Sus scrofa: one gene and its partners. The protein of the gene in region 2 interacts with the protein of the main gene of each other region in a pairwise test. Links are inferred from orthologs where the notes say so. Each region holds a gene or a part of one and is shown on either strand. Other genes may lie near its edges. The genes, in order: UBE2I, TFAP2A and glutathione S-transferase omega-2.

Region 1 (5,431 bases), on a different chromosome or scaffold from region 2:
GGGCGCTGCTGTCAGCCTGGGTGCCACGCCCCAGCTCTCCGTGTGGGCCTTCTCGGCCGCAGGGGCTCGGCCCAAATGCACACCCAGCGCCTCGTGTACAAAGAGCGGATGGGAGGCTGTAGAGACACCACGCGGCCCTGGCTCAAGCTATCTGTGCGCCCATAACGAACCTGAGCTCCACTAGGGTCCCTGAATCAGCTCCCCGCTAGAATCCCCTGGGGGGAGCCCCTCCCCCGGATTGGGACCTGGCCCCCTGGGTCAACCCCGGGTCAGGACCCTGGGGTGCTGGCTGCTTGGCGCGTCCCGAGGACAGTCGCAGCCCCAGCTTCCCTCCCTCCCCCGACCCACTCCAGGAACAGGCACCTGCCCGGCCTGTCCCGGAGGCCAGCCCCTCGGGTCCCAGGCCGCTGAGGCACCTGGGGAGTGTCGTCGGGAAACTCGCGCTGTCCCGTGGGCAGATGGGACAGTGGGGCTCAGAGCCTCCGGCCTGCCTAGGGCCCGTCCAGCCCAGCTCTGAGGAGAACCAGAGCCAAGCCCGGGGCTCCAGGTTTAACCACTGCTCGCCCCCAATGAGTCACAGGCCTCCTCCGTCAGCGTGGATGGTGGACGCAGGGAAGGCCTGGGCACGGAGGGGACATCAGAGCAGCTGGGTGGCCAAGAGTGGCCTGAATCCCTGCCCCATGGGAGCACGGGAGGCACCACACCCAGGCTGGACCAGCGTGTGGCAGGAGCGCCAAGGGGGGCAAGTCTGGGTCCCTGGCTGAGCTGGGCTGCGGGACGCCCCTTTTTCAGGGCCCAGGCCCAGGGGGTCATTCCCTGAGCTGGACCAGGGCTGTTAAGACCTCACCTCCGACACAAAGCGGCCAACACCCGAACGCCGCCCCCCGCCCCCGCCGGCCTAGAGCAGAGACTCCAGGCGGCCAATGCGAGGCTGCACCAGGTGGGGCCGGAGCGCTACTAACCAGTAGATCGTGTAGGCCTCTGCTTGAGCTGGATCTTGGATATTTGGTTCATTTAGAAGTTCCTGTATTCCTAACAAGATCTGCGTAAGAGACAAAACAAACAGCCCAGTGGGAGGCTAGCGCTTTGAACGGCAAACCTGCCTAGGACAGCGGCCTCGGTCCCGGAGACCAGAGGCGGGCGCGCGCTGTGTACCTGCTTAATCGTGATGGCCGGCCTCCAGTCCTTGTCCTCCTCCAGGATGGACAGGCACACCGTGCCCGAAGGGTACACGTTCGGGTGGAATAACGGCGGCTCGAACTTGCCTGGGGCACAGGGAAGGAAGCACAAGCGGTCAGGGGGGCGGGGGCACCTGGCTGGTCCCGGGGCCTTCTGTGGAGGACTCCTCGGGGAGGAAGCTGGCCCCGAGGCGGGAGGGGTGGGCCCGTGCCTCCCCGGGGGGCTCGGAGGGACCTGTCCTCCCGGGACGCGGCAGGCAGTCTTCGACTCGGGAGGATGGGAAGGGGCCGAGGCGAGCGTCCTGGGGGCCTCCAGGCAGAGGCTCAGAGGCCCTTCGAAGCGAGCGGTTGTTTTCAAGGCAGATCATCCTGCGTCGCGACAGAGGCGGTAAGGACCCCGTGTTCTCTCTCACGGACACTGACTCGGCTCAGGCTTCCTTGTTCCCATCTGGGGCACCTTCCCCTTGTCACTTTAGTGCAGCAGGTGTAGCACAGCTTGATGGACTGACAAAAACAAACTCACCTGCTCACACCAGCAGCTTCAAGAAAACTCCCCCCATCACACACCACCCTGCCTGTCCTGTCACCCCAGCTCGCAACCCCCCGAGGACTCCTGGCTCTCAGGGTCATGTGTGCAGTTCCCACACCCGTGCTGTGCGGGCCTTGTTGGGGGAAGCTGTGCCGAGGACTTGCCCACAGCGCCCGCCGCAGGGGCGCATCTGAGCCACAACAAAGCTGTGCACGTCCCTCGAGGCAAATCCTGATGTGTGCGCATTTTTTTTTTTTTTTTTAAGGGCCGCACCCATGGCGTATGGAGGTTCCCAGGCTAGGGGTTGAATCAGAGTTTTAGCTGCCAGCCTACACCACAGCCACACGGATCTGAACTGTGTCTGCGACCCACTCAACAGCTCACAGCAACGTCAGATCCTTAACCCACTAAGTAAGGCCAGGGATCAAACCGGTGTCCTCATGGATACTCATCAGATTTGTCTCTAGTGAGCCATGACGGGAATGCCAGTGTGTGCGCACTTCTACGGGAAGACACTGGCTTGCACGGTGTCTCTGCTGAACCTGCAGACACCACTGCTTTCCAACGGCTGTGCCAGTGTACAGCGCCAAGATGCTGCCAGCACCCGTGGTTCAGTCATGGCATTCGGCCACTCTTGCGGTTCTGCTTTGCGTTTTCTGGATCCTCTTTCACTCCCTGCGATGCGGTGACTGCTTCCTTGCTCAAACCTTGCATGCTTTTCTTGTCGACACTCCTTACACACGCGGGACGCAGGTCCGTTGTCAGTTATCTGCCTCCCAAACGCCTTCTCCTACACAGAGTTCATCTTTTTCTTTCACTTTTGGTGAAACCTCTGGTGCCTTTCCGTGAACACCAGTTCCCAACCCAAATATAACCTGAGACATCATTCTTGTCCCCACCCAGAGAAGGTGCTGGATGGGCAGCGGCACCGCCCCACCCCACCCCCAGCTCGGGAGGGGTGGGCGCGCCAGGAAGTCACCTCTCGACTCCCAACACTGCCCGTCGTTGCTTGGCCTGCCGACGCCCCGCGTGAGCGCCTCAGCATCTGGGGGACACTTCAGAGCCTCTCGCCTGTGCCGCAGATGGTCCGCTGCTGACCTGTCCATTCGGCACGACACCTGGGCTCCTCCATGAGCACCGGGTCCCAGGGTGGCCGCAGCAGACGAGCCAGAGACTTCCGGGGGAGAGTTCGGAACCGACGTGAGCCCTGAGCCGGGCCCTCCCACTCCGGCCGCAAATGGGGCCGGGAGCCAGGTGCAGCACCCTCCCCTCCTGGCTGTGTGCCGCCCGACAGGCGATGCCAGGGACAGACCGGAGAGAACTCACTGACGAGCGCGTGCTGCCCCCTCCACTCTTGCTGGCGACTCCCGGTCGAGGTGGTCTTGATTTCAGTTCGGTCAGCTCATCACTGTCCCCAAGGGGGTGACGGCGGGGGAGTGGGGGTGCTCCAGGTGCTTCCCCGGTTAAACGCCCAGCCGCGAACATGAGCAAGAGGTTCCCCCACTTGCTCCGAAGCTGTACTCTTTTGGCTGCGGCGGCAGTGGGGCACCTGCGGCTGCACCTGCAGCCATGTGAAGGTTCCAGGGCCAAGGACAAACCTGCGCCACAGCAGCGAGGCCAGGTCTTTAACCTGCTGGGCCAGCAGCTCAGCCCTGATGCTGTACTTCCCACCGGGCACTGAGATGCCACGCAAGAGCCGTTCTCCTCGTCAGGGCCAGCCCGCCCTCCCCGTGCCCGCAGCCCCACCTGCCACCTGCAGGCCCCGGACGCAGATGGCCTTTCTGGGCTCTGCTGCGCAGACTGTGTCTCAGTCGCTGTGTCCCCAGAGCAGGGCCGGCCTGGGTCCCCTCACTGGGCGGGCAGCAGCCTGAGCCCCAGCTCCGCCCCCTCATCTCCAGAGCCCTGGCTCTTCTGGGCACTTCCTGCTTCTCAGTCTGCCTGACGGTTCCCAAGGGCTGCTGGCACGGCGACCAGGGTCAGGCTGGACCTGCAGAAGAGCCCCAGAGAACGGGCGTGTGCACAGTGGCCCGACCCACCAGGCACCCAGGCAGCCCCTGGCCCTCGCAGACGCCTCGTCTTCAGCACAGCAGTCTCGAGAGTCTCTTGCTGGATGTCATCCACGCTGTTTGACGCTGCTTTAAATGGTGGCGTTTAGGAGCTTGCATCTGCTGCAGTTACATGAATAGATTTTTGCAAATTCGTCTTTTATTCAGCACCCCTAGGACAGACTCGGAGGAAGATGGTTTGCAGTCCCGTCTTCCTTCCACTTGTGCTGCGGGGATTTCGTTGTCTTGCCCGGCTGTGTGGGCCTGCCATTCCCCACAATGTGGAGCGGGAGTGATGAGAGCAGCTACCATGTGTATCCCTTCTTCCTTTTGGTCTCTTTAGGGCCGTGCCTGTGGCACATGGAGGGTCCCAGGCTAGGGGTCGACTCAGAGCTGCAGCTGCTGGGCCTCCACCCCAGCCAGAGCCGCAGCCATGCCAGTTCCAAGCCGCATCAGCAACTCACACCGCAGCTCACCACAAGCCAGATCCTTCACCCAATGGGTGGGGCTGTACCGGCATCCCTGTGGCAACTGCTGGGCTCTTAATCTAATGAGCCACAATGGGAAGTCCACGTTTCATCTCTTAAACAGAGACGTTCTGTAAGCTAAGACGTGCACGTGGCAAAAAGCCCTGAACAGCAAAGAACCCCCTGAAATGAAGTCGGTCCCCACTCCAAGGCGGTGAGTCTCAGAAAGTCTGCTTGTGCCGTTAAAAGACAGCACACTTCTCTCCAGCCAGCCGAGTCAAGGCTCTCACAGCCTGCCAGGCACCCTCCACACGCCAGGGCAGGTACCAGGGCACTCCATTCACCAGCCAGTGCGGATCTCCAGCGACAGAACCCTCCCGAGTTTCGCTAAGTAAACGGGTTACTGCGTCCACCACAGCAGAACCGCAGGCGCAGCCTCGGCCTCTCTTCCCGCCGCCCGCTCTGCCGTCTGCACAGGCAGCTTGGGCCTGAAACCCCAACCAGCGAGGAAGTCCCCTTGGGGGGCGGCTCTGGTCCGCGGTCCTTCAGCGCGCACGCCGGCCCAGGGCGGGAGCTCATCCGCCGGCGGGAAGGGCCCAGGAGGCCCCCGGGGTGGGAGCTGGGCCTGTTCTGAGTTCCCCGGGCGCCCATGGAGCTGCGGGGAGCAGGGCACATACCTGAGGCCCCACAGGCCCAAGCTCTCTGAGGACCTCGGTCCCAGAGGAATGCGGCCGACGCTGAGGGATCTGGGAGGACTCGGCTCTACTCACATTTCGGCGGTGAGGACGGGTAGTCGTCTTTGAACAGCATCCGCAGTTTAAACAAGCCTCCCTCCCACGGCGTCTGCGGGGAGGCAACACTCTGTTAGGTGAGCAGGGGTCTCCGCGGCCGGTCTGGCCCAGCAGGGGCTGCGCTTGCTCCCGCCGTGCCCCGGACCGAGAGAACCCCGCCGACCCACCCCGCGCACCGTCAGGGCCTCCGTGGGCCCCAGGAAGAGGTGCCAAGGGCCTTCCCTCAGGCCCCCGGGTCCCCCTCCTGCGCGTCGAGGCCACGGATGGAGGCCACGGAGCCTCTCATCACCCAGCACAGAAGGGGGCGCCTCCTTCCTCCTGGGTCACCGCACTCTTCCTCCCAAATGCTTGCCATGTGCCGGTCCGAAGAGACCCGGGCACACTCAGATGGGCCGAGGGGCAGCCCCGTGGCCAGGCATGA
Region 2 (5,431 bases):
CTGTGTTCTAAATCCCTTTCTCGCATATATTTGTGAAACAGGGCGAAGTCTAAAAATGGAGGAAGATCTTTAAGAGAAAAACTGGACAAAATAGGATTAAATCTGCCAGCAGGGAGACGTAAAGCTGCCAACGTCACCCTGCTCACATCACTAGTGGAGGGTAAGCGAGTCCACTTGCTAACAAGGAGGGATGTTTCTTCTGGGGAAATGGATGCTACTTAGTGACCAGATGTTTGGTTGTGTTTTGTATCAACTGGGCAGTTTCATTTTTTTTTTCCCCCCAGAAAAATATCGCTGGAAGTGAACAGGATTCTTGCCTGGCAAAAAAACTCTTTGCATTTATTCCTGTCCACCTTTCCTCTTCCCTTCTGCCACATAATTACACCTCCCTAGCCCGATTCTGACCCAAACAATGTGAAAATTTAAGAACTGCGTAGTCTTCAAGTTCCTGTCTCCTTTATCGAGCTCAGCAGTAAATCACTTAAGCTATTCTGACATCTGCCTTTGAGAAATGCGTGACCATTACTTCCTGAATTAATTTGGGAATCTTTGACCTGCATCCTGATTTAAGACCGTCCTGAAAGCTCAGGGTTCTATGCCCTTTTAGTTTTTTGCTTTCCAAACATATGCCCCCTTATCTCTTACTTAATTGTGCCTCTCTCCTGGAGAGGAAGAAAAGTGAGCAATTGTAGACTCTGAGTGAGTTATTTGGATAGGAAAAGAAAAAAGAAATAGAAGCAGTGCAGAAAGTTTCTCAAGTCAGCTTTCACACACACACACACACACACACACACACACACACACACCCCTTCTAAACCCCTCAAAACAAAGCTAACGCCCTGGTCTAGACACACCAGAGTCCAGTCACAATCCATCACAGTCCTCCTTCCTCCCAGATCCCTGGTAAGTTTGTCAGATACTAAACTGGCTTAAGTTTGGGTGTGTTGACATGAGTATATACTTCTCTTGCATTTTCCTCTGTGTTCTCTTGGAAATGTCTAATGCCAAGAGGGGGAAAAAAAAGGCACTTACATTGTGGAGCAGATTTCAAAACTACCATTTATATTTAAGACACCTTGGCTTCTTTACATCCAGTATCTGAGGAGATGTAGGCTAATTGAATTCAAGTTCTAGCTTTGAGAATCAGTTTTTAAATGTTTAAAAACTTACCGTTGAGGAGAAATCCCATGAACCATTTGTTCAGGGTGTCAAAGATGCTACTAATAGAATCGTGAAGTAATAAGCAACTGTTCAGGCCTGGAAACTCATCGACCGTAGCCCAGTGTTAAAACTCATACCGGTACCTTCAAAACCTATACCCTTCAGACCCCAGAAGAATTACATGCAGAGAATCTGGCAGTAGTGGCTTTGGGTGTCGTTTGAAAGTGCGTTTGGGTTTGGGGGTTGAGTCCTGGAGCAGGGAGGCAGTTTCTGGAGAACTGTTATTGTTTGTGATCCGCTCCATTTTATGGAAACAAGCTCAGCGGAGAGGCCTTTGATGCTCTAATTGGCGCATGCGTTCTTCCGGAGCTGGAGCTAATGGCAGGAAGCCCTGCAGTAAAAACCAACTGGTTCAGGAAATTAAAACCAAAGATTCGAAAATCAACAACACAGACAGACTCAGTGGAGTGACCCTCAAATCCTCTTGGTTAATCGGTTTGGATGAACAGATAATTATATGCGATAAAGTTAAAATGTAAACCCTTAGCTGTTCCCTTGCAGAAAAGCTCAAGGAGTAATTATGAATATCATTTATGAATGTGTTGATCGGTGTGAGGTTTGGAATACCAGAAACCTTTTAAAAGAGAGGGTGGGAAAAATGTCATTGGGGTGGCGGATGAGCCTGGAGGGGAACGGGTGGGATTTACGTTTTCAAATCATTTTGGCCATCTGGGATCCGTGGCCATCTCCCCCCACCCCCCACCCCCCTGCACCCCTAAGAAATGCATCCACCAGATCGTACAGAGAAGGAAAGAAAATACCTGAAGTGAGAAAACAAGTCGTTTGGGTTTCCTACAACATCTGGGTTAAGAAAATAAGAGAGTTGGGAGGAAGTTTGGATCTCAACTCGGCTCAGCCTCCCGCCCTCCCTCCTCTCTCTCACCTCTTGCCAGGAGAAGCCGTCCACCTCGCCAGGGACTTTGGGTACGTGTGCGAAACCGAATTTCCTGCCAAAGCAGTAGCTGAGTTTCTCAACCGACAACATTCCGATCCCAATGAGCAAGTGACAAGAAAAAACATGCTCCTGGCTACAAAGTAAGACATTTACCTCTTCGGGGTCTGTGTGTCTCACTGTCAAGAGAAAACAAAACTCAGAATCGTTTCTGCTCTCCCTTTGGGCCTCTCTTCCTTTTGTGTAAATCAGCTTGGTTGGTGGCAATATGAAAGTGACGACACAATCTTACAAACCGTAATGGGTCTCCGAGGGGAGAGACAAGGAAGATTGTGAGTGTGTGTTTCCTCCTTCCCTCTCTCTTCTGCCCACCTTCTCATTAAAAAAATCATAATACTAATGTGTGGGATAGAGTGTGGATTTGATGGAAACTGAGGGTGGATTTGTGACCATGTTATTTCAGAAAGACCAGAATAGAATTCTTAAAGGAGTGACAGGCTTGTCTGTATCAGTGTTTGTTTCTTATCAATACGTCCTCCAAGAACAAGGATTAATATAAGCAGTGGCTTGCAAAATGTTCAGGCCGGAAGCTGTCCTAGTTTCCATCCTAATCCTTTCTCGCATGTCTTGCCTTCCTTTCTGGCCTTCCTCAAAAGTCCTGTATACACACCCACACCCACCCGTTCCCCACAAGTTCTAGCCTACAGGCGAGATGTCAGATAGGTTTCAAAATGGCCCAAGTTCTATTCCCACCGGGTGACTGGGCTGAATAGGCTTCTCCAGGTGGTGTGTGAAAAGAAAATGACTGTTTTGATATGTTTTCTGGAAATTCAAAGTCTTGTTTGGAAGCCCTTAATTATCAAAGTCCACGTCACAGGAGGGCATGGAACCAGGGGGCAGAGGCTGAGGCCTCGGGGGTGGGGTCTTTTCTGGCCCCGGGACATCAGCTGGCCTTGGAGGAGGCAGCCTGCCTGTGCTCCCACCCATCCTCCCCCCCCTACCCAGCATCTCCCCACCCCCAGCCCCACCCCAGGGCCTCTGCTGCCTCAGGAAGGCCCCAGCTAGTCCTGGCTTCCCAGATTCAGAGCTTCCGCTGTGCAGGCCCCATCACCTGTATTCCAACTTCTCTTCTCTTAGCTTCTAAGGACACCCACAGTCACCGTATCCCTAGACATTTTTTTCTTTTCTTGGGGAGGGGGGGGTTGGACAAGAGGTGAAATGGCAGATTGAAATGTCTGTCTGTTTCTTCTTCCCTAAACTACTCTGAATTATCCCCATGTAACAGGGGCTTTTTTGGGTGCCTTTTATTTTTAAAGGCAAAATTCTCCCAAGACAGGTTTGGCCTTTCTTGTCCACCCATCTGCCCTGATTTGAGGGGGAATGACTGGAGAGGGAGAGGCCATCCCCCAGACTGCTGCTGAGAGATCTCTCTAGAAGATCAGGGGAGGGGGTCTCTGTAGTATTTGGAGCAGGACCTCCGATGAGCACCTGCCCTTGGTATGGAAGGGATGCTTGTGTTCCTGACTCCTTGTCCCTGTCACTCACCTTTGCTTCTCTCCCATAACATGCGAAATGTTTTCCTGCATCCAGGATGTTTGGTGTGAGAGAGAAAACAGGGGGGTAGAAGTGTGGTGTAGCTGAGAGGGGAGAAGGAGACACACAGGAAGGGGGGGGCGTTTGTGGAAGGGTTTAAACTCCCCCCCCTTTTCTCCCCCCCTCCCCTGCCTGCCCGCCGGTGTCAGGTCAGGTGTCCCCTTGATGCAGGCAGAGGTACCTGCAGGGAGATGCAGGGAGAAAGGTTTTCTCTCTGCTGCTGGCGCTGCCCTCAGGGGAGCCTCATTTCTCTCTCTGCTCCACTTGTGCTGCAGACAGATATGCAAAGAGTTCACCGACCTGCTGGCTCAGGACCGATCTCCCCTGGGGAACTCGCGGCCCAACCCCATCCTGGAGCCCGGCATCCAGAGCTGCTTGACCCACTTCAACCTCATCTCCCACGGCTTCGGCAGCCCGGCGGTGTGCGCCGCGGTCACGGCCCTGCAGAACTATCTCACCGAGGCCCTGAAGGCCATGGACAAAATGTACCTCAGCAACAACCCCAACAGCCACACGGACAACAGCGCCAAAAGCAGTGACAAAGAGGAGAAGCACAGAAAGTGAAGCTCTCCTCCAGCCCTGCCCCCGGACCCGCGCCTCGCCGTCCCCCCCCCCCGCCGCCGCCCCCCCCATCTCCATCGCCATCTCCCCCACCGGTGCCCCCCCCCCCATCGACCGCCGCCGGCAGGTGAGCTCCGGGATCAGCAACCCCCCCACTGCTGCTACTGCTGCTGCTGCTGCCGCCGCCGCTGCCGCCACGCCTTCGGTTCGGAGGCTCGGGGTCCTGGGGACAGCGCTCCCCGGCGAGAGGGGCGACCCTGCCGCCCAGGCCCCTGCCTCGACTTCCCCGATCCGCACCACCTCGCCTCTGCCCTTGCGTGGAGCCTCAGAGCACAGAACAGGCCGTGAAGCGGGCAGAGAAAAGTTCTGTCCGAGTGTGTGAACCCTTTTTTTTTTTTTTTTTTTTTTAACACCGCAAATCAACAGCAATGACAACCACAAAATTCAAACTTTTTTTTTTTTTTTTTTAGAAAAAAGAACGTAAAAATTAAAAAAAAAAATGATATGCGCTTCATGGGATGGAATCACCACCTTCCTTTACATACCGTTCAGATTGTAGCCATACTTAAAAAAAAAAAAAAAAAAAAAAGAAACAGAGAAAAGAAAAAGAAAGCAAAGGCAAAAAGGATCATGACATTTTTATCAGTATTGTGAATAAACTTGAACGCAGATACAGGAAGTTCCATGTCTTGTCTTCAGTTACAGAAGTTTTCCCTCTTCAAGGTAAAGCGACCAACTTGAACTTTCTCTGGCAACACGATTCACAGTTATATAAGGGAATCAGTGTTCACGTCTCTGTATATATTTATTTATGTGTAATTTAATGGGAATTGTAAATATGGTGAGTCTGTTTTAAACCTTTTTTTTTTTTTTTTTAATTTATCTGGTAATCTCGTTTACCTCTTGTTTAGTGGGTTTTGACTCTCTCCCCTGGTACTTACTTAGGAATCCAAGGTTTGGGGGATTTTTTTTTTTTTTTTCTTCTTCTTTCCCCTCTGGGATTCATGAATTTAGCCCTGTTGTAGCATGTTCAAGATGACAATGAAACAGCTGAACACAATTTAAAAAGGAAAATAAAAAATTTATATATAATTAGTAATACATTTAGCTTTTCATTGAACTGAACGAAAAAGTCCTATGGAACCCTGGAGAGATTTTTAACCT
Region 3 (5,431 bases), on a different chromosome or scaffold from region 2:
TGGGTAAAATTGCATAAATAGGATCAGAACTAGGGTGAGGCAGGGAGGGCACAAAATTTAATGAGACCCTTTTAGGGTCGTGCAAGATCTTAACATCTGTAAGTTTTTCTTCTTATCTGCTAGATCATGGCCTTATTTTTTAAAAAGCACTCCTTATACACAGGGTATGGCTAGCTGTCTTAGATATGCATAAGGGAAGGCTTAGAATGGGAAAGAAGACGTTAGCATCACCCTAGTCAATTTTTATTAAACTCCCTTGAAATAAGTGGAGATTCAATGCCCATACTTCACAGATTCTTGATGTAGAGGAGATTGAACCGGATGTTGTGCCCCCTGAGTTCAAAGCAAGGGGTACTTTTCAGGTTTCATCCACCCATTCCCCCCCCTACTCCTAGTACTCCAGCTTCTGAATCTGGGGCTCTGTTTCTCCAGGTTGAACTATCCTAGCTGCCGTCCTGGATCACTTCTCCTCCGCCCCGCTAGGGCCCTGTTGCTCCAAGGTTGAATTTGGGGCAAGAGCAGGGCGAGGGCACCAGAGTTCCGTTGTCCTTGGAGGCTGCGGTAGCAGCAGCAAGCCACATGGCCGCGGCTGTGAGCGCTGGCCACTGCGCAAACATCGGGAGAACGTGACTGACGATGCCACCAGGACCTTGGGGAAAGGTGAGTCCTCTTGACAGCTGTCCACGGGCTGGGGGCACATGTGGCTGGATGTTGGATCCCAGACTAGCATGGCGAGTGGGGACTTGAATGGGTCCTCTGCAAAAAAGCCACATGAAAGAAAAGAAAAAAAGAAAAAAAAAAGTCCTCTCTGGGATTAGGAGGTGGCCCTCTTAGGGTCCTGGGGAGGGAAGTGAGCCTCTGACCCCATGGGCTAATCCTCCTCCTTGTACCTCCTCTGCCCGCAGGGAGCCTCCCCCCTGGGCCAGTCCCAGAGGGCCTGATCCGCATCTACAGCATGAGGTTCTGCCCCTATGCGCACAGGACCCGTCTGGTCCTTAGGGCCAAAGGCATCAGGTGAGAAGGGGGAGGCCTGCGCCCCAGACACGCCTGGGGATGTCTAACATCTGGGGTGCCTTGCTCAAATTGCAGAGGCTCCCTGCCTCTTTCTTCTGAAGCCAAGTCAGTAAACGGTTAGCAGAGGGCAGGTTCTTGAGCAGCCTTGCTGAAATGTAGTCAGGTCTGTGCAGGAAACATTTAGGACAATTGAGAGCAAACAGAATGAAGACTCTGGTGAGCGTGTTTCTTCCCTAAGGCTTGTGAAGGGCACTCCAGAGACTACAGAGGCCTCTGCTGACTGTTCCATGAACCATAGCCCCCACCCTACCCTAGACATCTTCAGGTCAATTCTCTTCTCTTTTTTCTTTGTGCTTGTGGCAGCCAACATTTTCTTATTTGCTTGTAGTCTTTTCTCCACACCTCCCAGCCACACTTCCACTGCCCCACCCCTGCCCCAGACACACATACACACACAAATGTAAGTTCTTGAGGGTAGGAACTTTATCTTTTATTCATGGTGTGGAAGAGAACCCAGCACATAGTAGGTGCTTAAAACTACTTTTTGAATAAATAAACAAATAGTTCCAAACTGTGAAATATAGGGATATTATCAAGAGGTGTCTGGAAGGGACCCATATATCTGAGAAATGGATACACACCTCTCCAGAAGGATCTTGCAAGACTAGCTCCTGCAAAGGAGATTTGGATTTAGAAGGTATAGAGATCTTGCTGGGATTGGGAATGGCTGGATGGAATGGGCTCCAAGCTAAAGTGCTGAGAAAGTGTTTCTCCAGCCTTTTGACTCTGGGCTTGGAAAGTCCGTCCCTAGGGGATGACTTAAGAGTATCTGATTCAAGTAAAGATATGCAGTGACTAATACAGAGATCTTTTAAATGAAATTATGTAATTCTGTTTTGTTAAGTGTATATGGCTTATATATCCAGATTCTTCCCTTCTGCTCAATTCTAGTTGGCCTAACATTATCTTTTTTTTTTAAAAAAAAAAAAAAAAAGATCAATATATATATATTTTTTTAAATGGCCACACTCACACCACATGGAAGTTCCTAAGCCAGGGATTGAATCTGAGCAGTAACTGTGACCTATGCCATAGCTGTGGCAACACCGGATCCTTTAAGCCACTGTGCCAGGGCAAGAATTCAGCCTGTCCCCCGTCACAGCAACCTGAGCCACCACAGTTGGATTCTTAACCCACTGCACCACAGCCAGAACGCCTAGACCAATGTTTTACTATAGTGACTAAGGAGCAGCTTAGGAACTGATACAAATACTTCTTCTTAAAAATTTTATTGAGGTATGATTGATTTTAAATATTGTGTTAGTTTCTGATGTATATAGCAAAATGACTCAGATATATGCACATATTCGTATTCTTTTTCATATTCTTTTCCATTATGGTTTGTTATCAGATATTGAATATAGTTCCCTGTGCTATACAGTAGGACCTTGTTGTTTATCTGTTTTTATTGTTTATCTATTTTATAGTAGCGTGTATTTACTAATCCCAAACTCCCGATTTATCCCCTCCCCCCACCGCCTTTCCCCTTTGGTAACCATAAATTTATTTTCTGTGTCTGTGAGTCTGTTTGTTTCATAAATAAGTTCATTTGCGTTATATTTTAGATTCTCTATATAAGTGATACCATATGGTATTTGTCTTTCTCTTTCTGACTTACTTCCCTTAGTGTGATGATCTCTAGGTTCATCCATATTGCTGTGTATGGCATTATTTCATTCTTTTTTATGGCTGAGTAGTATTGCATTGCATATATACCACAGCTTCTTTATCCATTCATTTGTTGATGGATATTTAGGTTGTTTCCAAGTTTTGGCTATTATGAATAGTGCTGCTGCGAACATTGAGATGCATATATCTTTTCAAATTAAAGTTTTCTTTGGATATACGCTCAGGAGTGGGATTCCTGGATCCCATGGCAACCCTATTTTTAGCTTTTTGAGAACCCTCCATATGTTTTCCATAGTGGCTCCATCAATTTACATTCCCACCAACAGTGTAGGAGGGTTCCCGTTTCTTCACATCCTTTCCAGCATTTGCTATTTGTAGACTTTTTAATGATGGTTATTCTGACCAGTGTGAGGTAGTACCTCATTGTAGTTTTGATTTACATTTCTCTAATAATTAGCAGTGCTGATTATTAGAGAAATGCCTGTTTCTTGTGCCTATTTTCATGTGCCTGTTTGCCTTCTGTATGTCTTCTTTGAAGAAATGTCTATTTAGATCTTCTGCCCACTTTTTGATTGCATTTTGTTGTTGTTGTTGTTGTTATTGAGCTGCATGAGTAAATACCTGTTTAGGGCAGGGTTTCTCACTCTTGGCACTTTTGACATTTGGGGCCAGATAATTTTTATCTCTGTGTGTATTTGGTGATGGGGAAGGACTGTCCTGTGCTCTGTTGGATGTCTAGCAGCATCCCTGGCCTCTACTCATAGGATGGCAGTAGACTCCCCCCCACAAGTTACAGCAACCAAAACTTGTTTGCAGACATTAGATAAAAATTTTCAAACCCTGGTGAAGCTTGGGGACTCTGAGTCAGACTGCTTGGGCTCTATCTTGGCTCTGCTACTTTTTAGTGGGTGATATCGGGCAGGAGAGTCAACCTCAAGGAGCCTCAGTTCTCAGAAGGGATGTGTTAAGTGTTTTCTGTACCTCGTGTGCTCTTCATGATGATCCCCCAGTTTACCTCAAAGGGAATCCGGAGGAGCCAATGGGGTAAGGCATAGAAAACATTCAATGTAGCTTCCTGGATGTAGGAAGACAATGACCTCATTATGTATTTTTCTTTGTACAAACCTAACTTAAAAAAAAAACTTATTGCAAATTATAATTTTATAGATTGATGGCTTTTGCGTTCAAGATGAGCATCTACCTGCCTAAGCCTCTCATTTGTTTTTCTGTCTTGTTTCCCATTTGCTTTGTAAGACATGAAGTTGTCAACATTAACCTGAGAAACAAGCCTGAATGGTACTTTACAAAGCACCCTTTTGGCCAAATTCCTGTCCTGGAGAACAGCAAATGTCAACTGATCTACGAATCTGTCATTGCTTGCGAGTACCTGGATGATGCTTATCCTGGAAGGAAGCTATATCCATATGACCCTTATGAGCGAGCTCGCCAAAAGATGCTATTGGAGCTATTCTATAAGGTATACCCATTTTTTTTTTTTTTAGAAAGCCACTTGCACTCAATTTTACTTTATATGTCTTGCCCAAGCTTTGATCTGTTTAAAAAGTCAAATCATTGATGAAATTCATTTGCTTTGATATATGTATGTGCCTTTAGGAGGATAGCTGGTATGGAATTATAGTAGAGCAGTGGCCTCTGACGTTAAAGTTTGAAGGCTTAGCCTTTACCATTTGAACTAGTAGTCTCAAGAGTTATGGTTATGACTGTAACTTGAGACAGGAATACTGAAAGGGTTGAAAACTGGTGATACTTTAAAGGGACTCTTTCTAAGCTTTCAGGTAAAAAAAAATATTGGGGTAGCTGTAAAAGGTAATGTGTACAGAAGGGAATTGTCCTTTAATGGGGAATGAGAGTGCCAACTGTCCAGGAAAATGTGAAGACGAGAGAAAGGGGGATATTGTTGATAATGGGAGAGAAAATGATGGAGAAATTCTAAGATAATTCTCTTTGAAAAGAAACAAAAATAATCAGATTTATAGCTGAAATCTCTTGAGCACTTAGAATGTGCCAAGCACTATTCTAACTGCTTTATAAAGGTTACCTCGTTGAATTCTCGCCCCTGCCCTTTAAGGTGGGTACTATTATTGTATCCATTTCTCAGATGAGAACACTGAGGCTTAGGGAAGGTAAGTGCCCCACCTAAGACTGTACATCATGGAAGTAGCTGACCAAATAAGGAGCACCAGAGAGTCCTCTTTTATAGCACCTTGTTTACCAGGGTGCTGTGAAGCCACAGAGATGGCCCTCAGAAGGAGCTGGGGAGCCTGGGTGTGGGAGCCAGACAAGCTCCAGCTGCATTTTTAGGGAGCACTGGGTGCCCTAAGAATTCTCCACTAAGAACCTGTGTCCTCTGATCAGGTCCCACATTTGACAAAGGAGTGTCTGGTAGCCTTGAGATGTGGGAGAGAATGCGCTGATCTGAAGCTAGCCCTGCGTCAGGAGTTCTGCAACCTGGAAGAGGTACTAAACGGAGCCCCCTCCTGGACAGATGCAGTGGGAGAAGTGATTCAGGTCCCCACCCTGGTCACCCGGACACCTTCTGTTTTCACAGACTTTGATAAGTTCAGCCGCTAGTCATATGACTTTAACTTGTGGGTATTGGCCCCCCACTAACCTGCTCTGGAATTATTCTTAAAAATCTGGCAAAAAGTGGGAGAGGGCAAGTGATGAATTTCTTCCTTTCCCAGAATCACCACATTCCTTAGGTATC

Evidence for each region.
Region 1: the proteins of TFAP2A (region 2) and UBE2I interact in binary tests that used the Homo sapiens proteins (3 or more experiments, as listed by UniProt). The link is inferred for Sus scrofa from reciprocal best matches to the Homo sapiens genes TFAP2A and UBE2I.
Region 3: the proteins of TFAP2A (region 2) and glutathione S-transferase omega-2 interact in binary tests that used the Homo sapiens proteins (3 or more experiments, as listed by UniProt). The two-hybrid records come from large-scale screens. The link is inferred for Sus scrofa from reciprocal best matches to the Homo sapiens genes TFAP2A and GSTO2.

Annotation. Positions count from the first base shown.
Region 1 is NC_010445.4:40,558,007-40,563,437, forward strand, and holds part of UBE2I (SUMO-conjugating enzyme UBC9), read right to left. Parts: intron 5,063-5,431; coding exon 4,990-5,062; intron 1,266-4,989; coding exon 1,156-1,265; intron 1,043-1,155; coding exon 963-1,042; intron 1-962. UniProt on the Homo sapiens protein: Accepts the ubiquitin-like proteins SUMO1, SUMO2, SUMO3, SUMO4 and SUMO1P1/SUMO5 from the UBLE1A-UBLE1B E1 complex and catalyzes their covalent attachment to other proteins with the help of an E3 ligase such as RANBP2, CBX4 and ZNF451.
Region 2 is NC_010449.5:7,222,009-7,227,439, reverse strand, and holds part of TFAP2A (transcription factor AP-2-alpha), read left to right. Parts: intron 1-41; coding exon 42-160; intron 161-2,114; coding exon 2,115-2,256; intron 2,257-3,981; coding exon 3,982-4,270; 3' UTR 4,271-5,431.
Region 3 is NC_010456.5:115,223,678-115,229,108, forward strand, and holds part of glutathione S-transferase omega-2, read left to right. Parts: intron 1-432; 5' UTR 433-660; intron 661-905; 5' UTR 906-955; coding exon 956-1,014; intron 1,015-3,957; coding exon 3,958-4,180; intron 4,181-5,079; coding exon 5,080-5,181; intron 5,182-5,431. UniProt on the Homo sapiens protein: Exhibits glutathione-dependent thiol transferase activity. Has high dehydroascorbate reductase activity and may contribute to the recycling of ascorbic acid. Participates in the biotransformation of inorganic arsenic and reduces monomethylarsonic acid (MMA).